5 linked regions of the Oryctolagus cuniculus genome follow. The protein of the gene in region 3 interacts with the protein of the main gene of each other region in a pairwise test. Links are inferred from orthologs where the notes say so. Each region holds a gene or a part of one and is shown on either strand. Other genes may lie near its edges. The genes, in order: PCSK5, FBLN5, NUFIP2, EFEMP2 and GRN.

Region 1 (3,512 bases), on a different chromosome or scaffold from region 3:
TGACCCCCTGAAGAGTCTATCACCTAGCAACATCCCAGCTCTCTTAGCCTGTGCAAGTGGAGCCTGTGGTATTCTCACAATGACAAAATAGCCCAACACTTAATGCTGTTAAATGGTGTGTGTCTGTAGTGCAATTTGAAGAGTGGCATGCTAAGAAAAATCAGAGACAGGGAAGCAAATATTTTAGATTTTAAATAAAGTGAAATTCTTGCCCTCAGAAACTAATTTTCCCGAAATCATTTCTTTCCCACCATTTTCCTCCCCCATCTGCCCCGGGGGTTGTCTTCCAACAGATGAGTGCATCCTTCGAAGGCGTGAGGTGGGACCTGCAGCTCAGAGTTCCAAGCCGGCCCTGTTTATCAGCTCCTCAGTCATGCTGCTGCTGCTGCTCGGGACGGCTGCGATCGTTTGGAAGAAATCTCGGGGCCGAGTCCGGCCAGCAGTAAAGGCTGGCTACGAGAAGCTGGCGGATCCTACTCGGTCTTACTCGGCCCGTAAGAGCAGCTATCTAGAGAGCACTAGCTTTGAAGAGGATCAGGTAATCGAGTACAGGGACCGGGACTATGATGAGGATGATGATGACGACATCGTCTACATGGGCCAAGATGGCACCGTCTACCGGAAGTTTAAGTATGGGCTGCTGGAAGAAGAGGAGGACGATCAGCTGGAATACGATGATGAGAGTTACTCCTTCCGGTAAACAGAAGACACGGCCATGCCCCGCCCCCGCTCCCGCCCATCCCCCTTCCAGGAATGCCTATGGACACCCCTGATTCTGCTTTGACCCGCACACCAGGCTGATGTGCAAGTGTCTGTATTTGTCTTTTGAATCTTGAGTCCAACTGGAATATCTAAGAATACTTAGAAATGATTTTGTTCTTTTGTGTGGCTAAATTCAATGAACAGTCTCTATTCCACCATAATTTCAGAGCGAGGATAAAACGCAAAGGCATTTTCCCAGAACAGAACAGCATGTCAAAGCACAAGATGCAGGAAGTGAAAACGAGTGACATTTGTCCAAACTCCTTGATGAGATTAAAACAAAGCAGTGGACTTTAGGAATTCTGTTTCCAAACTGCATTGTGGCGATTTCTTTATCTGCTGAGATTTCTTTATCTCATTTGGGAGGATGAGAAAGTAGAGAGTGCTGGTTTGGTGGGGAGTTTCTCTCTCTTTTTACAACTGTCTTCAGGCAAGATTTGTTTTGTAAGGGTGCAGATGAGAAGGTTCTTATCAACTGCTCCACAACCCCCCTGGTGAGCAGCAGAGTATCTCAGACAGGGCGCGGTGGACCTATTTACAGACGTGGAAGGAAAGGAGAAGGAGCAACCTACGGAGGGAACCATGAGGGGACTCCAGGCTCTCGCCCCTCTTCCGTAAGGAGGTCACTATGATCCTAAAGGCAGCATGAGTTGGGTCAGAAGACAGGTAGCAGCAAGCCCAAAGAGAAAGTAATCACTAAGTTCCCAACAATTACATCCTCAAGATTTTCAAAGAGCTTTGCTGGTAAGAAATACTAAAATTTTTTTAAATGGCACTGTTAACCTAACAAAATTAGGTAAAATGACCAAAACAAAACAAAAAATCTTTATCCACTCTAGTAAAACAGGAAAACAAAAACAGGACATGGCAACCACATCAGAGGAGTGCCTATCAACAACCCTTCCTGGAACTGGGGCTCCCCACGGAAAAGCTGGACCAGCGTCTTGCACAGCACAGTCCTGGTGTCCCGCTCCCAAGCTGCCATCCAGCTGCCCACCAGCTCTCCAGTGTTCGTCAGAACATGATTTTGTGTCTACACTGTCTGGGCTTCCTTCTCCACTCTCCTGTCAAGCGTGCTCTTAGATTCATGCCGTCTGCATCAGTTTTTCCACCGATACTAATAGAGAGGGGTCCTTACTATGTAAAATTATGTGAGGGACCTGCACTGTGGCACAGCAGGTTAAGCCAGCACCTATGAGACAGGCTTCCTGTATCAGAGCAGTGGTTCAACTCCCAGCTGCTCTGCTTCCAATCTACCTTCATGTTAATGCACCTGGGAAATTAGTGGGTGGTGGCCCTGCCATCCATATGGGAGACTTGGATGAAGCTCTTGGCTCCTGGCTCCTGGCTTCAGCCTGGCTCAGCCATGGCTGTTGTGGCCAATTGGGAAGTGAAAGTTATACAAAAGATCTCTCTCTCTCTCTCTCTCTGTCTCTTCCCCGCCCCCAGCTTTCTGCCTTTCAGATAAATAAATGAATGAATAAATAAATCTTTTAACAGTATGTATGTGAGCAGTGTCTTACAGGTTTCCTTTATCAAAGAAGTTATAGGCTGTATTAGGAATAGAACATCAGAAAGTGAAAGTAACATTTTCAGATGATGGTAATAATAAAAAATTTCATTACAAACATACTGTGCATGCTATTAGTTACCACGCTAAATAATTTCTCTGAAAATAGTCACTCAACTTATCCATTTAATCCCATAATGTTATGAGATTAGTATAATTATGATTCCATTTTTATAGAAAACCTGAGGCCTAGAAAAGGTTAAGAGCTATGTCTCAGGTTCAGAGAAAGTTAAATCAAGATTCAACAGAAAAAGAATTGACTTAAAGAGTATGCTTCTACAGTTCACTGACATAGGGTGGGAAAATAATTATTCTACATTTAGTAAAGCCATGGCTATTATTTTATAAGGTATCAATATCCTTCTGGCAACGACATTATTCATTATTCATAAATTCATGTCTTTTTGTTTGTGACATAATGTGTCATTGACGAAGGAAATCTCCACTAAGAAACCTTCAGTTTACTGAGGATCTGTGTTTCTTTGGAGCAAAGGTCTTAAAATTAAGTTTGGCAAACATTCTCTGGAAAATCTAGATAGTAAATCCCTTGGGCTTTGTAACCCAAAAGTTCTGTTTCGCATCCATTCCATTGTAGCATGGGTGCAGCCAGAAATAAAGAATGGGTGGGCTGTCTCACAAAACTTCACTTATGAACAATGAAATTTGAATTTTAGATTATTTTCACCAATCATAAAATTGTGTTCTTCTTTTGATATATTTCATCCATTTAAAAACACAAAAACTGTTCTTTACTCATGGCAGTACAAAATCAGATGATAGGCCAGAATTGGCCAATACTGTAGCTTACTGGCTTTGTCCTAAAAGAAAATTCTTCAAAGATCACGTGTATCACACACACATGTGATGTGACTCAAAATTTTTGATCATTTAAAATTAATTCTTCAGGGCGGGCGCCATGGCTCACTTGGCTAATCCTCCAGCTGCGGCGCCGGCACCCTGAGTTCTAGTCATGGTTGGGGTGCTGGATTCTGTCCCTGTTGCTCCTCTTCCAGTCCAGCTCTCTGCTGTGGCCCAGGAGGGCAGTGGAGGATGGCCCAGGTGCTTGGGCCCTGCATCTGCATGGGAGACCAGGAGGAAGCACCTGGCTCCTGGCTTCGAATCGGCGCAGCACTGGCCATTTTGGCCATTTGGGGGGTGAACCAACAGAAGGAAGACCTTT
Region 2 (3,512 bases), on a different chromosome or scaffold from region 3:
GAGTGGGTTCATGGAGCTCAGTGCAGGTGTCGGGTTTCTGTAAGCAGTGCAGTGGGAGGGGGGCTGGGACAGGGGACAGGAATGCAGAATAACAACAGGGCTTTGCATTGGGGCTTTGCATCTTGTCCAAGTTATCTCGCACGTCACCTACCTTGGCAAGACCTTCCATCTTCATTGAGGGTAAAACCAGGGTTGCATGTACAGGAATAGGATCCAGGAACATTCGCACAGAGCTGCTGGCAGTAACCATAGCGACATTCATCAATGTCTGGAAACAGAAACACAGGCAGGGTGAGACGGGTCTCCGTCTCTCTTGCCGATGCCACCGCCAGCGTGGCATTAATGCCCATCTCTTCCGGAGCAGGGTCGGACAAGGAAGCAGAGGAGGCAGCCAGTGCTAAAACCATGCCTACTAAGTGCCAGGATGCTCCCTGCTTTCAAGGCTCAGTCTCCCGACAAAGGCTCATCTCCCTGAACCACCTGGTCCCTGAAGACCTGAGCCCTTCTTGCAGGTCGATGGTCGCAGAAGGAATTTCTGCTGAGTGGGACTGGGTAAGAGGCCCTCTCAGATTTTACCCAAGTCTTAAGATGCAATTCCAAGACTCTCTATGACTTTTTCACTGCCCTGAGAAGGGACAGGTGAGCTTAACACGTAAGCAGCAGCCACAACACCGCTGCCAAAGGCTCCCGGCCACTGCACGTTCAGCTTGAGGAGCTAGTGCAGGCCACCATGACCTGGGAGGCACCACGGTCCGAAGACCCAAGTCCAGGAACTCAGGATGCTGCGGTTCACCTTGGCTCTCTCCTGCACCAGAGCAGATGGAAAATGTCTTCAAGCCACTCTGCCTTCCAGGGAAGCAGCAGCCTTGTGGCTGAGTGGATCCTTCCAGCAGAGCTGCGCGACAGGGACCCTGCTGACACCGGCGCCTGACACTGTCAGCAAAGCGCTTCTCAACCCCGGGAGCTGACAGCCTGGGGAACTCACTCCTCCGAGGCCGGGCGCCTGGAACGAACCACCAGCCTCCAGGGGGAGACAGAGTCCTCACCTGTACCAGCTCCCGTGGAGGCCCATTGCCCTGCCGGTGGCTGCAGCTGGTCCTTAACTCATCCTTCCTCACCCTACGCCACCCGCATTCCCTCCCTGGACCCCAGTTCCACGGAACCAGGGTGCAGCCATCCAGGGCTCTGGCCCCTGACTCAGAACCTTGGTCTCTCTGCCAGAAAGGACCCCAGCTCCCCTGTCCCGTTGTTCAGCCCTTCTCGGATCCCGTGCCCTGCCCCTAGGCTCTCTTTTATCTCTAAGGTCCACTTACTTCTTTTTCAATTATTTACTTATTTTCATTTTATTTGAAAGATGACAGAGACAGGCAGAGACAGGCGAGCGAGCGAGCAAGAAAGATCGATCGATCGATCGATCTTCCATCTGCTGGTTCATTCCCCAAATGCCTGCGACAGTCAGGGCTGCACCAAGCTGAAGCCAGGAGCCAGGGATCTCCATCTGGGTCTCCCACAGGGTGGCAGCGGCCCAATGGGCCATCACCTATGTCTCCCAGGGCATTAGCAGGAAGCTAGACTGGAAATGGAGGAGAGAGGACTCAAACCAGGCATTCCACTGTGCGACGTAAGCCTATTGGTTAAAATCTTTAAAAACAAACAAACAAAGTGGAAGAAGCTCCTGGCTCCTGGCTTCAGATCAGCTCAGCTCCAACCACTGCAGCCATTTGGGGAGTGAACCAGTGGATGGAAGACCTTTTTCTCTGTCTCTCCCTTTCCCTGTCTGTAACCCTACCTCTCACATGAAGAAATAAAATAAAATAAAAAAGAAGGACGGCAAGCCCACTGCCTGTACAGTTGCTCCTCTTCCCCAGGTGCAGCTGGGCACCTGTCCCTTGTTCTGCAAAAGCAAGGCCTCCCTAGGTGCCTGGAGCGGGTAGTGGGTAGCACTTGTATTTTAGAAGAGAAAGACGCATTTGACCAGGGCAAGCCATGTGTTCAGCCATAAGGAATAAAGGTCTCTTGTGCTCTGTGGAAGAGAATATCCCTCCCAGGCAGAGGAAGGTCCTAGAGCCTAAGGAGGTTCCTGGCCTCAAAGTCTATCCTGGGGGCCAGGGGTATCCTGGCTGCCTCTGCCTCCCTAGCGCCCCTTGTGGTGGAAATGAACACTGGCCTGAGGACCAGGAGACTTGAAGACTCAACCCACTCACTTTAACGTAGTCCAAATTGTCCCTCCTCTCTGAGTCGCAGTCTCCAACTCTGACATAAGATCTACATCCCTTCCAGCTCTGGCATTCTACAGATGCAGTTCCTATACAAACAGCCCCCTCCCAGGGATCTGCGTATGTTCACATCAATAGTATCCAACTCCCCACGGGCACAGAGGTCGGTTTACATGCATTGCGACTGTCATATCCTCAGACATCCGCATGCACCACTCTGCCGTGCGTGTCTGGAAAGCAGAGGAAGCCAAGCCGGGCTGGTCGGTCAGGCCTCCAGGGTGGACCCGATTTCTGCCTCAATCAAGCCAGCCTTGGAAAGAAGCAGTTTCTGTTCTGTTCTGTTTCCATGATGCTGCTTGGATCGGTTTCTCTGCTGCTCCGGCACCGGCTTTCAGGCCACAGAACAGTGTCTTAGACAACTCAAACCGGCAGGACTTTTCCAAGAAAACACAGCATAGAAATCACACCCTAGAAATAGAACTTGAAGTGACAGCTGGATATTCCTATGAATTCATTCCCTTGGCTGAGCCCAAAACCAGAGGAGAGGGAAGGAAGAGAGCTCTCCAGTAAAAATAAACAGAAAGATCAGAGAGCCAATGCCAACTGCAAGGACGCCATCCTCGGTGGGTGACGGCGGACCCCTCAGCAGTGAAAGGAGAGGTCACGGCCAGCAGAGGGGGCGTGGCAGGCAGAGGTCACGGCGAGCAGAGGCGTGGCGGGCAGAGACGGAGATAAGGTGTTGGGAGGATGCGATGTCTGTCTGGACCTATTAGTCCACATTTGAGACTTGGAACGTTCTCTTCTAGGCAAAAGTGCTCATTTCTCTTTAGTACGATTTCTAACTAGGGCAGAGTAGCCTTCCCTCATCACTTCCCAGCTTAGGAGAAAGTCCCTGAGGGCAGGAAGCCCCAGATAAAATCCTGAAAGGCACAGCCAAGAGCCACACAGTGCTGGGGCAGGCATTCGGCCCCGCAGCCGAGATGCGGGTTACAATGCCCACGTCCCACATCCGGGTGCCTGAGTTCGACTCCTGGCTTTGGCTTCTGACTCCACTTTCCTGTTAAGTAACTGGGTCCCTACCACCCATCTCAGAGACCAGAATTGAGCTCCTGGCTCCTGGCTGTGGCCTGGCCAAATCCCAGCCATCGTGGGCATTGAGGGGGAGTGAAATGGTAGACGGAGCTCTTTCTCCACCTCTCTTATAAATGAAGTTTAAAGAACTGTGATGATGGCATGACAGTGGTAATATCCGTAAGCTCCACAGGCATCTACCCCACCCCTCCCCACCAAAGGAAG
Region 3 (3,512 bases):
TTAGACTTATTTATCTGAAAGTCAGTTTCAGGACTGGTCTTCCTCTTATGAGTCACTCCCCAAATGGCTGTAAAGACCAGGGTTGGGCCAGGCTGAAGCCAGGAGTCACTTCCAGGTCTCCCATGTGGGTACAGGGGCCCAAGGATTTGAGCCATTTTGCGTTGCTTTCTCGGACGCATCAGAAGGGAGCTGGATGAAGTAGAGCAGTCAACACTGGAATGGGAGCCCATAAGGCACTGCAATGGTGCCTTAACCTTCTGCGGCACAGTGCTGGCCTGCTTATATAGGTATATATTTTTAAAATTTATTTATTTAACTTGAAAGTCAGAGTTACACAGGAAGAAGAGAGGCAGAGAGAGAGAGAGGACTTCCATCTGCTGGTTCACTCCAATTGGCTGCAACGGCCACAGCTGTGCTGATCCGAAGCCAGGAGCCAGGAGCTTCTTCCAGGTCTCCCACACAAGTGCAGGGGCCCAAGCACTTGGGCAATCTACTGCTTTCCCAAGCCATAGCAGAGAGCTGGATCAGAAGTGGAGCAGCCAGGACTCGAACCAGCACCTATATAGGATGCTGGCACTGCAGGCGGTGGCTTTACCTTTTTTAGCACTGGCCTCTAAAACATTTTTGAGATGGATGGTTGTGATAGTTATAAGCCGTTACTTAAGACCAGTGAACTACACACATAAATGGTTAATATTATAGGGTCCCTTGCCACCCCTGTGGGAGACCAGGATGGAGTTCTTGCTCTTGGCATTAGCCTCGCTCAGACCTGGCTGTTGCAGTCATTTGGGGACTGAACCAGCAGATGGAATATTTGTTTTTCCCTCTCTGTTGCTCTGCCTTAAAAAACAAAACCTAACACAAAAATTATTTATTTATTTGAAAGTGTTAAAGAGATAGGGGGAAATCTTTTTTTTTTTAAAAATGCACCACTCCAGGACCAGCATTATTGTGTAATAGGTAAAGCTGACGCCTGTGACATCGACATCCCATAAGGGTACAGGTTCAAGTTCCGGCTGCTCTACTTTTGCTCCAGCTCTCTTAATAGCCTGGGAAAAGCAGAGATGGCCCAAGTGCTTGGGCTCCTGCAACCACATGGGAGACCCAGATGAAGTGCCCGACTTCAGACTGGCCTGGCCCAGCTCTAGTCATTGCAGCCTCTTGGGAGTGAATCAGCAGGCAGTTCTCTCTAAATAACCTAAAGAAATGCTCTTAGGGGCCGGTGCCGTGGTGTAGCGGTCATGGTTGTTCCACTTGTGATTCAGCCTGGAAAAAGTCAGAGTTACACAGGGAGAGGAGAGGCACAGAGAGAGAGAGAGAGAGAGAGAGAGAGAGAGGTCTGTGCCTGGGAAAACAGCACAGGATGGCCCAAGTGCTTGGGCCCCTGTATCCACGAGGAAGACCTGGAAGAAGCTCCTGGCTCCTGGTTTCAGTCTTGCACAGCTTTGGCTGTCACAGCCATATGGTGAGTGAGCCCTCTCTTTAATTCTGCCTTTCAAATAAATAAATAAATCTTTAAAAAAAAATAAAAAGTTATTCAGATGATCAAAAGGTTAACTTAAAACCAATTCAAGTAAAGGGAAAACTAACGAACCAATTGATCACTAATGGACCAATCAACACTTGGCAGCAATTCAAAGAACTTGCCACTCTGGAACCCAAACTGAACATTATCTGTTGTTCCAGGGGAAAAACAATCAATATCAACCTGATTCATTTTAATACACAAACTTACTAAAGAAAATCTTTTCAGTAATACCAGCAAAACTAAACACATTTGCATCTATATGGCACATTTAGTTTATCTGAATCACTGATTTTAGTTAGCCCATATATAGGGAATGCACACAGAATAACTGGAATACAAACTAATGCTCTCATTTAAAAAGGCCTACAATTACACATAATAAAAAAGAGAATCATACATAAAACAACTAATCAACTACCTAGTAGAACAGATCCCACAAATTTTGAGGTAGCAGAATATAACACAACCAAATATCTTCTCAGGCCTACACAATGACCACCACTAGACACTTTGGTAAACATTTTCCAATAACATTATTTGAAGGGCAGATGGCACAGAAAATGACACCCTACCCTCCCAGTAGAATTTAATTTAAATAGAACTAAGTATTTCTTTTTTGCCCTTACAGCCCTAAAAAAATAAATCCAGTTCCAGGGTAAACCTCATGGTTAGTTCCCAAGAGCAGAACTAGAGAACAAGTGAAGGCAGGTGAATTTTACCTGCCAGAATTCTTGTCCCTTAACGTCCATAAGGCAATTCTACTGCTTTCCACTTTTTAAGGAAAAGATCAATTTAGTTCATTGTACCAAATAAATGTTTTTGTTCACAGAGAAGGAAAGGTATGTAAGATTAAGAAATTTGCTCAAGTCACATAAAAAGCTTTGTTATTCATCTCTGATGCAATGATTTCTTCCAGGGAAAATATGGTAATTACCTCATACCCACAATCTGATATGCATATTCTTCCCAGCAGTTCCAAATCATGCCTAAACGGCCATGTTAAAAATGGGAATGTGCAGTATCTATTAATTGTGTCCATGCAGACATGGGTATGGGAACAAAGGTGGAAAAGGTATGAAGATTAAAAACCACTGTCCTAAAAAGCAAAAAGTTTATAAATATCATTTGTTACACCTCACTATTTGCATTAAGGATTTAACTTATTTTCTGGTTACTATTCAGCACACATTATTCCTTCTTATAAAAGATGTAAAGTTTGATACTCCATCTTTTTTGGACCCTTCTTCAAAAATACTGCTCTTATTCATTTTAGGCAAATTAAAAATATTAAATGACTTTGGAATTAAGCATATAATACAAAAAATAAGAGACAGGGAACATATACCCAAAGAAAAAAATTTTTGAAGAACTCATGAGATAATATAATGTCACCCTTCTGGGCAGGCACTGCCTACCTCTCTTTAATTTATACTTGTCCATATAAGATAATGTTTTTAAGTAGGAAAAAACGAACATTCATTCTTTCTCAAGTTTAACCATACTATTTCCAAAGACCCTGAATTAAAGAGTTTGATATTGGGTTCTTATCCACATTGTCATTCTCAATTAACCTTTGCAAAGCAGCTCATAGTTTTCAAAATTTACTCTTAATACAAATAAAAATAAATTAGACAGTAAGAATCTTTGTATAAGAAACAAATGAAGTTACCTTTAGTGTGATATACAATAGCAGCCCTCAGGTCAAAAGAACCCCAGCTATCATTCCTTTCTAGGCCTCTCTGGTATCTCTGTTCTTTGGCGGAGCCCAACAAAGTGTTCGTAGGAGAGGCCAGAGGATTTTGATTTTCTATCTCGTAGTCCTTTGAGAGAAACACTAAAGCACCTTGACTACTGGTGTCTGCTTTTTGCAGGTCACCTATATGACTGGGTTCCAAGGATAAGGCTCCACTCTCATTAGTAGTCCCAGATTTTAGAATGTTACTCAGAACTTGAGGACTAGTCCGTTTCTCCAGCTCATAAGCCT
Region 4 (4,254 bases), on a different chromosome or scaffold from region 3:
GTGGACGGGACGTGGGGGCACCCTGGCCGCCGCTGGGGGAGCCCGCGCAGGGCTGAGCTCACCGCTGCAGGAGAAGCCGTCGCGGTGCAGCTCGTAGCCCTGGTGGCAGCGACACAGGAAGGTCCCGTAGGAGTTGAAGCAGCGCTGCTCACACGGGGCGCCCATGTCGCACTCGTTCACATCTGGGGGTGCCGGGACAAAAGCAGAGGGGCAGTCTGGGCTGGCCGCCAAGGGCGCTCCCCCAGCTCATACCTCCCAGCCCCGGGGGCCCCAGGAGCCCGGCCTGGCCCAGCCTCACCCACACAGGAGCGGTTGTTGGGCCCCAGCTGGAAGCCCGGTTCGCACTGGCAGCGGAAAGAGCCGGGCAGGTTCACACAGCGGTGCTGGCAGTAGCGGTAGCGGCACTCGTCAACGTCTGCGACGGCGGCGGGGAGGGAGGCCGCGGAAGGCGCCAGTCAGTGGGGCCCCCACTCGAGGCCTCACTGCCCACAGACCCGGATGTCTCTGGGCAGCTGGACGGGGCCAGCCAGCCAGAGGACGCACGCACGCACAGGCACACACACACACACACATGCGCATGCGCACACACACGGTGTCCATGCAGTCCTCTGTGTCTGATGGCAGGAAGGCAGAGGGGGCCGGGGGCTGGGGTGACGCCCGGGGGTGGGCTGGAGTTGGGGGCTCAGGAACAGACAGGCTGCTGGCCGCACTCACCCACACACTCCGGCCCGATCTTGCGGTAGCCATCCGGGCAGGTGCACTCGTACGAGCCAGGCAGGTTGTGGCAGTCCTGGCTGGGCCGACAGTCGTGCAAGGCCTGCGCACACTCGTCCACATCTGCAGCAGACACCCCTGAGCCTCCGCCTGGGGTCGCTCACGCCATCCGGCGAGGCAGGCACCCAGCGTGGGAGGACGCAGTCCAGAAGCCACCACGAGGGCACAGGAGACCCCTCCCACCCGCCCACCAGCCTGGGAGGCAGCAGGAGACAAGGCTCTGTCCACACCCTCAGCCCCCAGCGACCCTGATCCCAGGACACCCCCCGCCAGGGCCCGCGGCTTCCAGGGGTGCAGTCCAGATCAAGGCTCCTGCAGGGTCTCTGCAGCACGTGAGGGGAGGGTCCCCTGGGACTGGCCCCGGACACAGCGAGGGCCTGGATGAGGGGCCGGGCAGCCCCTGGTGGCCCCCAGGAGCCATCAGTAAGGGCTTGGAGCAACGCAAGAACGCGAGCCCAAGTTGCGAGAAGCGTGGCGACAGCATGGGACGCCCGGGCCCAGAGGGACTCACCCACGCAGCTCTCCTGTTCGTCGGGCTCATAGCCTGGCGGGCAGGAGTTGGGGTGCTGAGCGGGGGGCACAGGCGGCGGGGGGCCCTCGCCGTGCAGGTCGTTGATGACGGAAGCGGAGCGCGGCAGACACAGGTAGCCCCCGTAGTGATTGATGCACTTCATCTCGCCCTTGCAGGCCTCGGGGATGGTCAGGCACTCATTCACATCTGCGGGAGGCGGCCTGCTCGGCACAGCCGGTCCCGGGAGGGGGGCCGGCCCCGGGCGGGGCGGGGGGGGCGAGGCAGGAGCCCGCTTGGCCCTCCCTGAGCTCCACAAGCTGAGGCAGCCTGGTGTACCCAGGACCCCTCCCCTCCACACGGCCCCGCCACAGGCTGGAAGTGGGGAAGGGGTTGCCACTGCTGCCCCCACGCTGCCTCCAAGGGGGTCCTGGCCCTGGCTCAGCCGGGCAGTGATCTGCAGCCCCCCCCCCCCCCGTGGACACCGCCCTCCCAGGTTGCGATGGGGCAAAGCCTTCCATGGGACCAGCTGCTCCGGGGCTCCCCCAGTGGCTCTCCCATCTACCCCGGGGGGGGGGGACAGGGTTACCGGGGTTCTTGGAGAGGGAGGGGCCGCCCTGCCCTGCTGGGCTGGGTAGAGCACAGGCCCCCTGGGCTCTGGTCCCTGCTCCTGGGGGGCTGGTCCCCCTGTCACACTCACCCCGGCAGTGCTGGCTGTCTGGGTCCCACTCATAGCCATCGGTGCATTCCTGGAAGGAAACCGGAGGCTGCAGTGGTCACCCAGGGTCCCCTCCAACTGGCCAGGCCAATAGCAGGGCCTGAGCCTGGGCCACCCTCCCAGTCTGTTCCAAACAACGGCCCCCAGCTGCTCTACCGGCCGGGCTGGGGGGGCGAATCTCCCCCAAGAACAGCCTCCGGGGACCCTGGTCTCCCAGTGGTAGGCCACCCGCCCCCGCTGTCCCCACCGTGTAGCTGTCCGGTTCCTCGGAGTCCTGCGGTGACGCTGCCCCCAAGAGCAGCAGCAGCAGCGCCCAGAGCAGCAGAGACCCAGGGAGGCAGGAGGCGAAGGGGAGCATCCTGCGGCCGGGAGGGGGCGGGCGGGTCAGGGGCCTCTGCCACGGCCGCCCCATCCCCCCGCACCGGGCCCCGGCCCCGCCAGCTCCGGCTCAGGTCCGAGCCTGGGGCCCTGCAGCCCCGCAGGACCCGGGGCCCACTCGTTTCGTAGGCCCGGGTTCCGGGCCCACTCCGCCCCCGCCCGGTTCCCTGGCGGTGCGGGCCTCTCGGCCCGGCGGCCGCCGACTCTGCCGAGACTCCGGCCCGCGCCCCCCTCCCACGGGCCGCCACTCACTCGGCCGCGACGCCCCCGCGGCTCCGGCGGCTCCAACAGTGCCTGCGGGCGGACGGACGGGCGGACGGCGCAGCTCCCTGGACGCGCGGCCCCAGGAAGCGCCCCCCGCCCGCCCGCCCGCCGCGGTGCGGCCCACCCCGGCGCCTCCGCCCGCCCTTCGGCGGATTCCTGAGCCCGCGCCAGGGGGAGGGACCCCGACCCCCCGCTTCTCCGCCCCCGGCCGGCGGCCGCAGGCCCCCGCCCGGTCCCCCGCGGCGCCTCCCGGAGCCGCCTCCCGGCGCCGGGCCAGGGTCCCCCAGCGCTCGATCGTGGTGCCATGGACCTGGATGCCAAGCCCCCAGACTCACTCGGGGGGGGGGGCAGGCCCTCATCAGAAACGTCATCCCGCGCACCTGGCTGCTACCTACGCGCGCAGAATTCCTTTCTGCGCACCCACTGCTCAGTCCCGCACCCCCAGACCCTCATTCTGAGCCTCCCCGAAGGTAGGATCCGAGGCCCCACCCAGCCCTGGGGCCTCCATCCCCTCACTCGACCCCCCCAGAATTGTATTCTGTGCCCCCAGACCGTCACTCCAGACGTCCCCAAAACTTCACCCCGGGCCCCCGACCCTCGCCCCGGCACGAGACGCTCCCGGGTCCCGGGAGCAGAGCTGCCCATCTCTCCCTTCTACCCCCCCCCCCGCCCCGCCATCTCCCGCCAGGTGGTCCCTGCGCTCCTGCACGGCCTCCCCCGCCCCCGCGCTCAGCCCTCCAAGCCGAGGTCGGGGGCGGGGGCGCAGGTCCCTTTTGGCCCCAAATGAATGGCAGGCCCCCGCGAAGCAGGGACAGGGTGCACTCGGGGGCCAGGGACGCCAGGCTCCGGTGCCAACGCCTTCGCGACCCTCCTCTCGCCCGCGCCCCCCACTCGGCTTCCGACCCCTCCCCCAGCGGAGGGCGTGGCCGGGGCGGAGCCCGGGAGGGTTCGACTCCCAGGAAGGGGCGGGGCTTCGCGCTGCCCACGTCTCAGGGCTGGGCCAGACGGGAAAGGGCCGCGTGTGCAGGGCTCCCGGCACCCCGCAGGCTGCGAGAGGGAACAGTCGGGTCTTCCCGTCCCTTCCCCATCCCTGCTTGACCCCCCGATCGCCCCCAACTGACCCGGTGGGGCTCAGGCTGATGCATTCCTACCACCTGCCCAGGGGCTGGGGCAAGAAAGCCCGAAGTCCGAATTCTTGAAAACCAAGCGTTCACGAGTGTTGGCGAGGGTGCGGAGAACTCGCAGCCCTCCTAGGCTGCAGCTGCTAACATCATCCGGCTGTGTCCCCAGATGTTACCAGGCAGGTTCGCTCCCAGGTATGCGCCCGGGAGACTAGACGGGCGACAGGTACACACCCGCCCCGGGAGACCGGACGGGCGAAAGGTACACACCCGCCCCTCCCCAGAGACTGGACGGGCGACAGCTACTCACCGAAAGTCTGCTCATAGCAGCACCGCGCTGCGGGCTTCAGAGCGCTGGAATGTAGCAGCAACCCCACCAGGGTCAGTCAACCAGTGGGTAGCACACCCCCACGTGGAGGGTTGTCCAGGCGTGAGCAGGAACCCAGCCCGACACAGGCTGCCAGGGGGCTGAGCCTTGGACACCTTGCACT
Region 5 (4,299 bases), about 26 Mb from region 3:
CCCACCGGCCCTCCCCTGTGCCCCTGCCGCACCTGCCGCCCGGAAGCAGGCTCGCCCATCCGCGCTGCAGTGGAAGCCCCGAGGGCAGCAGTGACGGCCATCCGCGCAGGACACAGCCTGTGGGACACAGAGGCGCCTGCGTCGGGATGGCCCTCCTACCCGAGGGGGCGGGGGGCGGGAGGCAGGCAGGCAAAGTGCAAAGGCAGCTCCGAGCCCCTCCACTGCATAAGCGGTGCCCTCACCTCCGGAAAGGGGCAGCAGCTGGAGGTGCCCGAGACGGTGAGGACGCAGGAGGCGCCGTGGGTGCAGTGGGCACCCACCTGGCAGGGTCTGCCCAGACGCCTGCTCAGTGTCGGGGGCCATTTGTCCTGCAAAGAGAGGCCAGAGAATAGACCGAAGGCCTCTGCCCGCCTTGGGAAGGCTCTTAGCCGGGCACTCACCGGCACGTGGCTGCAGCAGCTGTAGCCGGCTCCTCCAGGGTCCAGGCAGCAGGCCTCGGGGCAGCGCTGACCGTCGGGGCACTGTGTTCCAGCGACCAGCCCTGCCATGACGGCCACCCAGCTCACCAGGGCCCACATGGTCTGCCTGCGAACACCAACGGGCACCTGTCAACCAGCTGAAGTCCAGGCCGCCTCAGAGTCTGAAGCCGCTCGCTCAGGCAGCCCCAGGCCGACGTCCAGGCCCGGGAGACCTGGAGCCTGCCTCCCAGCTCCGTCCCGACGCAGAAACGTGTGGCTCGGACGCAGCTTCCTCCCTGTGTGTCATTGCATGTTCCAAGCACGTGACACTCCTGCGTCTCCGTGTGCGAGTGTGCAGACGCGGGCTTGTGAGACGCAGTGTGGATTCTGTGGATGTGATGTGTGGAGACGTGGGCCACCTCGGGGGGGGGGGCTCAGGGCCAGGGGAGAGGATGGGGCTGGGGTACAGGAGGGGCTTCTCCAGGAACATCCAAGGCTCCCCACTCCTCAGCCAGTCCTCCCAACGCTGCACCCACACCTGCCCTTGCTGTGGTCTCGCAGGGCCCAGTGGTCACTTCCTGACACGGACGCCACAGGGTTAAGAAAAGTTGTGAAACAGGAAGTGGCAGCCAGTGGAGACTCGGGTGTCTTCCCCAGGGCTCCCTCACTGCTGCCCGCGGCGGTCCCCACCCCACCCAGGACAGGAGACACGGAGGCAAGGGCAGCTTCCAGATCCCTGTGTGCTGAGGGCCCCCAACACCACCAAGGGCCCTGTCAAGTCCCCAAACACATCACCCATCCCCATGTCTCCTCTGCTGGAAATGAAGCAGCCACATGTGGGCAGAGGCTACTGCGCCCGCTGGGCGGCCCATCTGAGTCAGCGGGAGGAACCGGCCACAGGCTCCTGGGGGAAGCCGCCTCCTGCTACCCACACAAGTCTTTCCCCGGGCTCGGGGCCTGTGCCGCCAACCCAAGAAGCGCTACCCTGCCTCCCGGCCGGGCCGCATGCCTGCCGGGGCACTCCTGGTTGTTTACTGCTTTGCAACCATCATCCAGCGTGAGGAGCACGACCTTTACCCTCAGAGGGAAACTGGAGCCCGAGGCTTTATGGCAGAAGTCCAGCCCCGTGCCAGCTCCAGTGAGAGCGGGCCCTGATGGCTCAGGGCACGCCGGCCCGGGAAGGGACCCCAAACCATGGGAGGGGTGGGCCTGGGGTCCAGGCACAGGCAGGGAATGGAAGTGTTTCCTGCATTTGCTCAAGTACCCCCCCCCGGCCCCCCACACACCTGGAAGGCCACCCCCTGGCTCTCGCGGCCGCAGCCTGGTCCTGGACCGAGCCGCCTGGTCCTGGACCGAGTCCCCAGGTCCGCGCTCGCCCCTCAGCTCCCGGGCAGAGCCCGCGCAGCCGCCTGCACCTGCTTCTCCGTGCCCAGCCCCAGCGCAGGCCGCCAGGTGGGGGCCTGTCTGCCCGGGACTACCCGGCGCCCGTGACCTAGCTGTCGTATCTTCCTCGCCCTGTATCTGGAGTGGGGGGAGTGCAGTGCACGCTCTGGCGAATCCACACGCACGCAGGCGCGCACAGCCCCGGCGATGGGGCGAGGGTCTCCCTCACCCCACCCTCACCCCCGGCCCGGAGAGGACGGAGCCTCTGTAAGCCCCTGGCACCTTCCGCTAAGTGGCACTCCCAACCCCAGGGCCAAGGGGCCAGGAAATTCCCCAAAAGGTGAACTGCGAAGGCGCAGGAAAAAGTGGCGGGGAGAGGCGGAAGTTAGCTCGTGCCGCCCCCCGGCAGAGGAAGTTGGGGAAGAGCCAGACTCCACCCGGGGGTTCAGTCACCTCTCCCCTGTCCCGCTCCAAGCCCCTCTGCGCCCCGGGACAAGCGGCGGGCGGGCGGGCCTCCCCTTCAGGGACCACCCCCCACCCTCACCGCCAGAAGGGGAAGAGCCGGCACCTGCCTGCAGGCGGTGGGGCAGGCTCAAGAATCGGGGGGACTGCGGCTCCCGGGGTTCTGGGAGGCAGAGAAGCCCCCTCGGGTGGGGGTGTCTGCAGTGACTGCTTGCGCCCCCTACCCCCGTGCATCAGAAACCCCTAAAGGAGTTTCCACAAGCGGCTCTTCTCTCGCCTCCGGGCTGAGACGCCAGAGGACCCCTAAGCCCACACCCCCCTCCAAGCCCCTGCGCCGCCGCCCTGCTACCTGCGTCCGCGTCCGCGCTCCCTGGGCAGCAGCCGCGGCTCCCCTCACGGACGCCGGCCCCTCAGCGCGCTGGCCCACCCTCCTCTGTTTCCATTGGCCGGGGATCCCAGATACCGCGCCCCCATTGGCTAGTCCTCGACGTAGAGGCGGGGCCAGCCTGGAAAGCTGTGTTTCTTTTTCTCAATTCAGCCTCCTCCTCCCCTTCCTCTCTCTCCCCACACCCCATTTTCTTGGGATCATGTGATTGGGGAATCATATGACGCCTCGGCCGGGGCTGCCGCTGCCAGCCTCGCAGCCAGCCGCGTGCCGCCGGCGCCTGGAGTTGTGTGCGGGAGGAGGGGCCCGCGTTATTTGTGGACGCTGACCGCCGGCCGGCCGCGCCTCTGCGGGGCGTTCGCGGGCGTTCGCGGGCGCTGGGCGGCGGAGCTTTGTGCACTCCGCTTCTGTTCTTTGAGCCGCCTCGCGTTAAAGGTCGGGCAGCCGAACCCCGAGGGGAGATGAGGGATGGCTGTGGACGCCGAAAGGGGCAGCTCCCAGACCCTCGCCTAAGCGGCCGGGTCAGGCTCAGCGCGCGTGCCGGGTGCCGTGGAGGTGCTGGAGGGAGAGGAGCGAGGGTGGCTCACGCCCGAGAAGGAGGGATTGAAGTCGGCCGTGGGAGCAGTGGCTCGAGCTGAACCCGCGAGGACCTGGGTCGCAGCGGGGGCGGGGCGGGGCGCTGGGAGATCGCACAGGCCCGGAGCCAGGGGGGCGCCCGGCGCGGGTGGGCAGCGAGGGCAAGTGGCTCCTAGCTTCAGTCAGCTCTGCCTTCCAGGAGCGGACACGGCGAGTGAGGAGAGCAGAGATTCCCCAACGGGGGCAGTGTTGCCCACCGGGGACGTTCGCAGCAGCGTCTGGAGACGTCTTGGGGTTGTCACGGCCTCAGGGGTGAGGGGTGTGTTCGCCTCACACCGGGCGTCTTTTCTGTTAGTTTGCACACTTTTTAATGTTCTCGTTTCCCAGCAACAAGCAGTTTTGAAAAGATCGGGGGCTGTGTGCATTGAGGCTTCTAGAAGCGGTCGCACAGATTAAGAGCATTCAATAGGAAAATGGCAGAAGGCAGACTTCTCACAGAAGAACTTAGAAGTCCAGTGCGCTGGGGACGTCGGCGATAGAGGCACAAGGTCCTGGATGCCCTAAGGCGGCCCTCTCCAAGGCCGGCAGTGAGGCTGAGCAGCCGTGCCCTTGCCCTGATTGCTGGCGGCAGGAAGTGTGCAATCGGTTTGCAATGAGCTTGTCCAGTGGTTGCAGCGAGCCCGCGGCACTTCCACGCCCAGGGACAAGGGGACGTGAGAGGCAGACGTCCGGGCTCATGGAAACGTTTGCCACCGGGGGTCAGGCCCGACGCGTCCCTTCCCCGAGCCTCCCACGGGCCCCTGACCAGGCCTGTGGCTCCCTCACCCAGCCACCCTGGCCTCCCTCCCTTTCACGTTTGCTATCACTCCCTCCATCTCCGCAGACCGTTCTCTCCTCCCCCACCTAGGCACCCCAGCGTCCCGGTCCCTCGGCCGCCTGGTGCTGCGTGGTTGCAAGCTGAGGCCCCTCTGCAGACCCCTGGCTGCCTCCCACCTGCCTGCTCTTCCTACTCCAAGGGCCTCGGCCACTTCCCTG

Evidence for each region.
Region 1: the proteins of NUFIP2 (region 3) and PCSK5 interact in binary tests that used the Homo sapiens proteins (3 or more experiments, as listed by UniProt). The two-hybrid records come from large-scale screens. The link is inferred for Oryctolagus cuniculus from reciprocal best matches to the Homo sapiens genes NUFIP2 and PCSK5.
Region 2: the proteins of NUFIP2 (region 3) and FBLN5 interact in binary tests that used the Homo sapiens proteins (3 or more experiments, as listed by UniProt). The link is inferred for Oryctolagus cuniculus from reciprocal best matches to the Homo sapiens genes NUFIP2 and FBLN5.
Region 4: the proteins of NUFIP2 (region 3) and EFEMP2 interact in binary tests that used the Homo sapiens proteins (3 or more experiments, as listed by UniProt). The two-hybrid records come from large-scale screens. The link is inferred for Oryctolagus cuniculus from reciprocal best matches to the Homo sapiens genes NUFIP2 and EFEMP2.
Region 5: the proteins of NUFIP2 (region 3) and GRN interact in binary tests that used the Homo sapiens proteins (3 or more experiments, as listed by UniProt). The link is inferred for Oryctolagus cuniculus from reciprocal best matches to the Homo sapiens genes NUFIP2 and GRN.

What each region holds. Positions count from the first base shown.
Region 1 is NC_091432.1:153,943,567-153,947,078, reverse strand, and holds part of PCSK5 (proprotein convertase subtilisin/kexin type 5), read left to right. Parts: intron 1-293; coding exon 294-700; 3' UTR 701-3,512. UniProt on the Homo sapiens protein: Serine endoprotease that processes various proproteins by cleavage at paired basic amino acids, recognizing the RXXX[KR]R consensus motif. Likely functions in the constitutive and regulated secretory pathways.
Region 2 is NC_091451.1:37,149,745-37,153,256, forward strand, and holds part of FBLN5 (fibulin-5), read right to left. Parts: intron 269-3,512; coding exon 152-268; intron 1-151. UniProt on the Homo sapiens protein: Essential for elastic fiber formation, is involved in the assembly of continuous elastin (ELN) polymer and promotes the interaction of microfibrils and ELN. Stabilizes and organizes elastic fibers in the skin, lung and vasculature.
Region 3 is NC_091448.1:44,719,254-44,722,765, forward strand, and holds part of NUFIP2 (FMR1-interacting protein NUFIP2), read right to left. Parts: coding exon 3,198-3,512; intron 1-3,197. UniProt on the Homo sapiens protein: Binds RNA.
Region 4 is NC_091432.1:5,896,440-5,900,693, reverse strand, and holds the start of EFEMP2 (EGF-containing fibulin-like extracellular matrix protein 2), read right to left. Parts: upstream 2,803-4,254; 5' UTR 2,631-2,802; intron 2,360-2,630; 5' UTR 2,359-2,359; coding exon 2,248-2,358; intron 2,032-2,247; coding exon 1,983-2,031; intron 1,493-1,982; coding exon 1,286-1,492; intron 838-1,285; coding exon 715-837; intron 416-714; coding exon 299-415; intron 183-298; coding exon 63-182; intron 1-62. UniProt on the Homo sapiens protein: Plays a crucial role in elastic fiber formation in tissue, and in the formation of ultrastructural connections between elastic laminae and smooth muscle cells in the aorta, therefore participates in terminal differentiation and maturation of smooth muscle cell (SMC) and in the mechanical properties and wall integrity maintenance of the aorta.
Region 5 is NC_091448.1:18,942,995-18,947,293, forward strand, and holds the start of GRN (progranulin), read right to left. Parts: upstream 2,806-4,299; 5' UTR 2,653-2,805; intron 586-2,652; 5' UTR 579-585; coding exon 441-578; intron 369-440; coding exon 243-368; intron 118-242; coding exon 33-117; intron 1-32. UniProt on the Homo sapiens protein: Secreted protein that acts as a key regulator of lysosomal function and as a growth factor involved in inflammation, wound healing and cell proliferation. Regulates protein trafficking to lysosomes, and also the activity of lysosomal enzymes.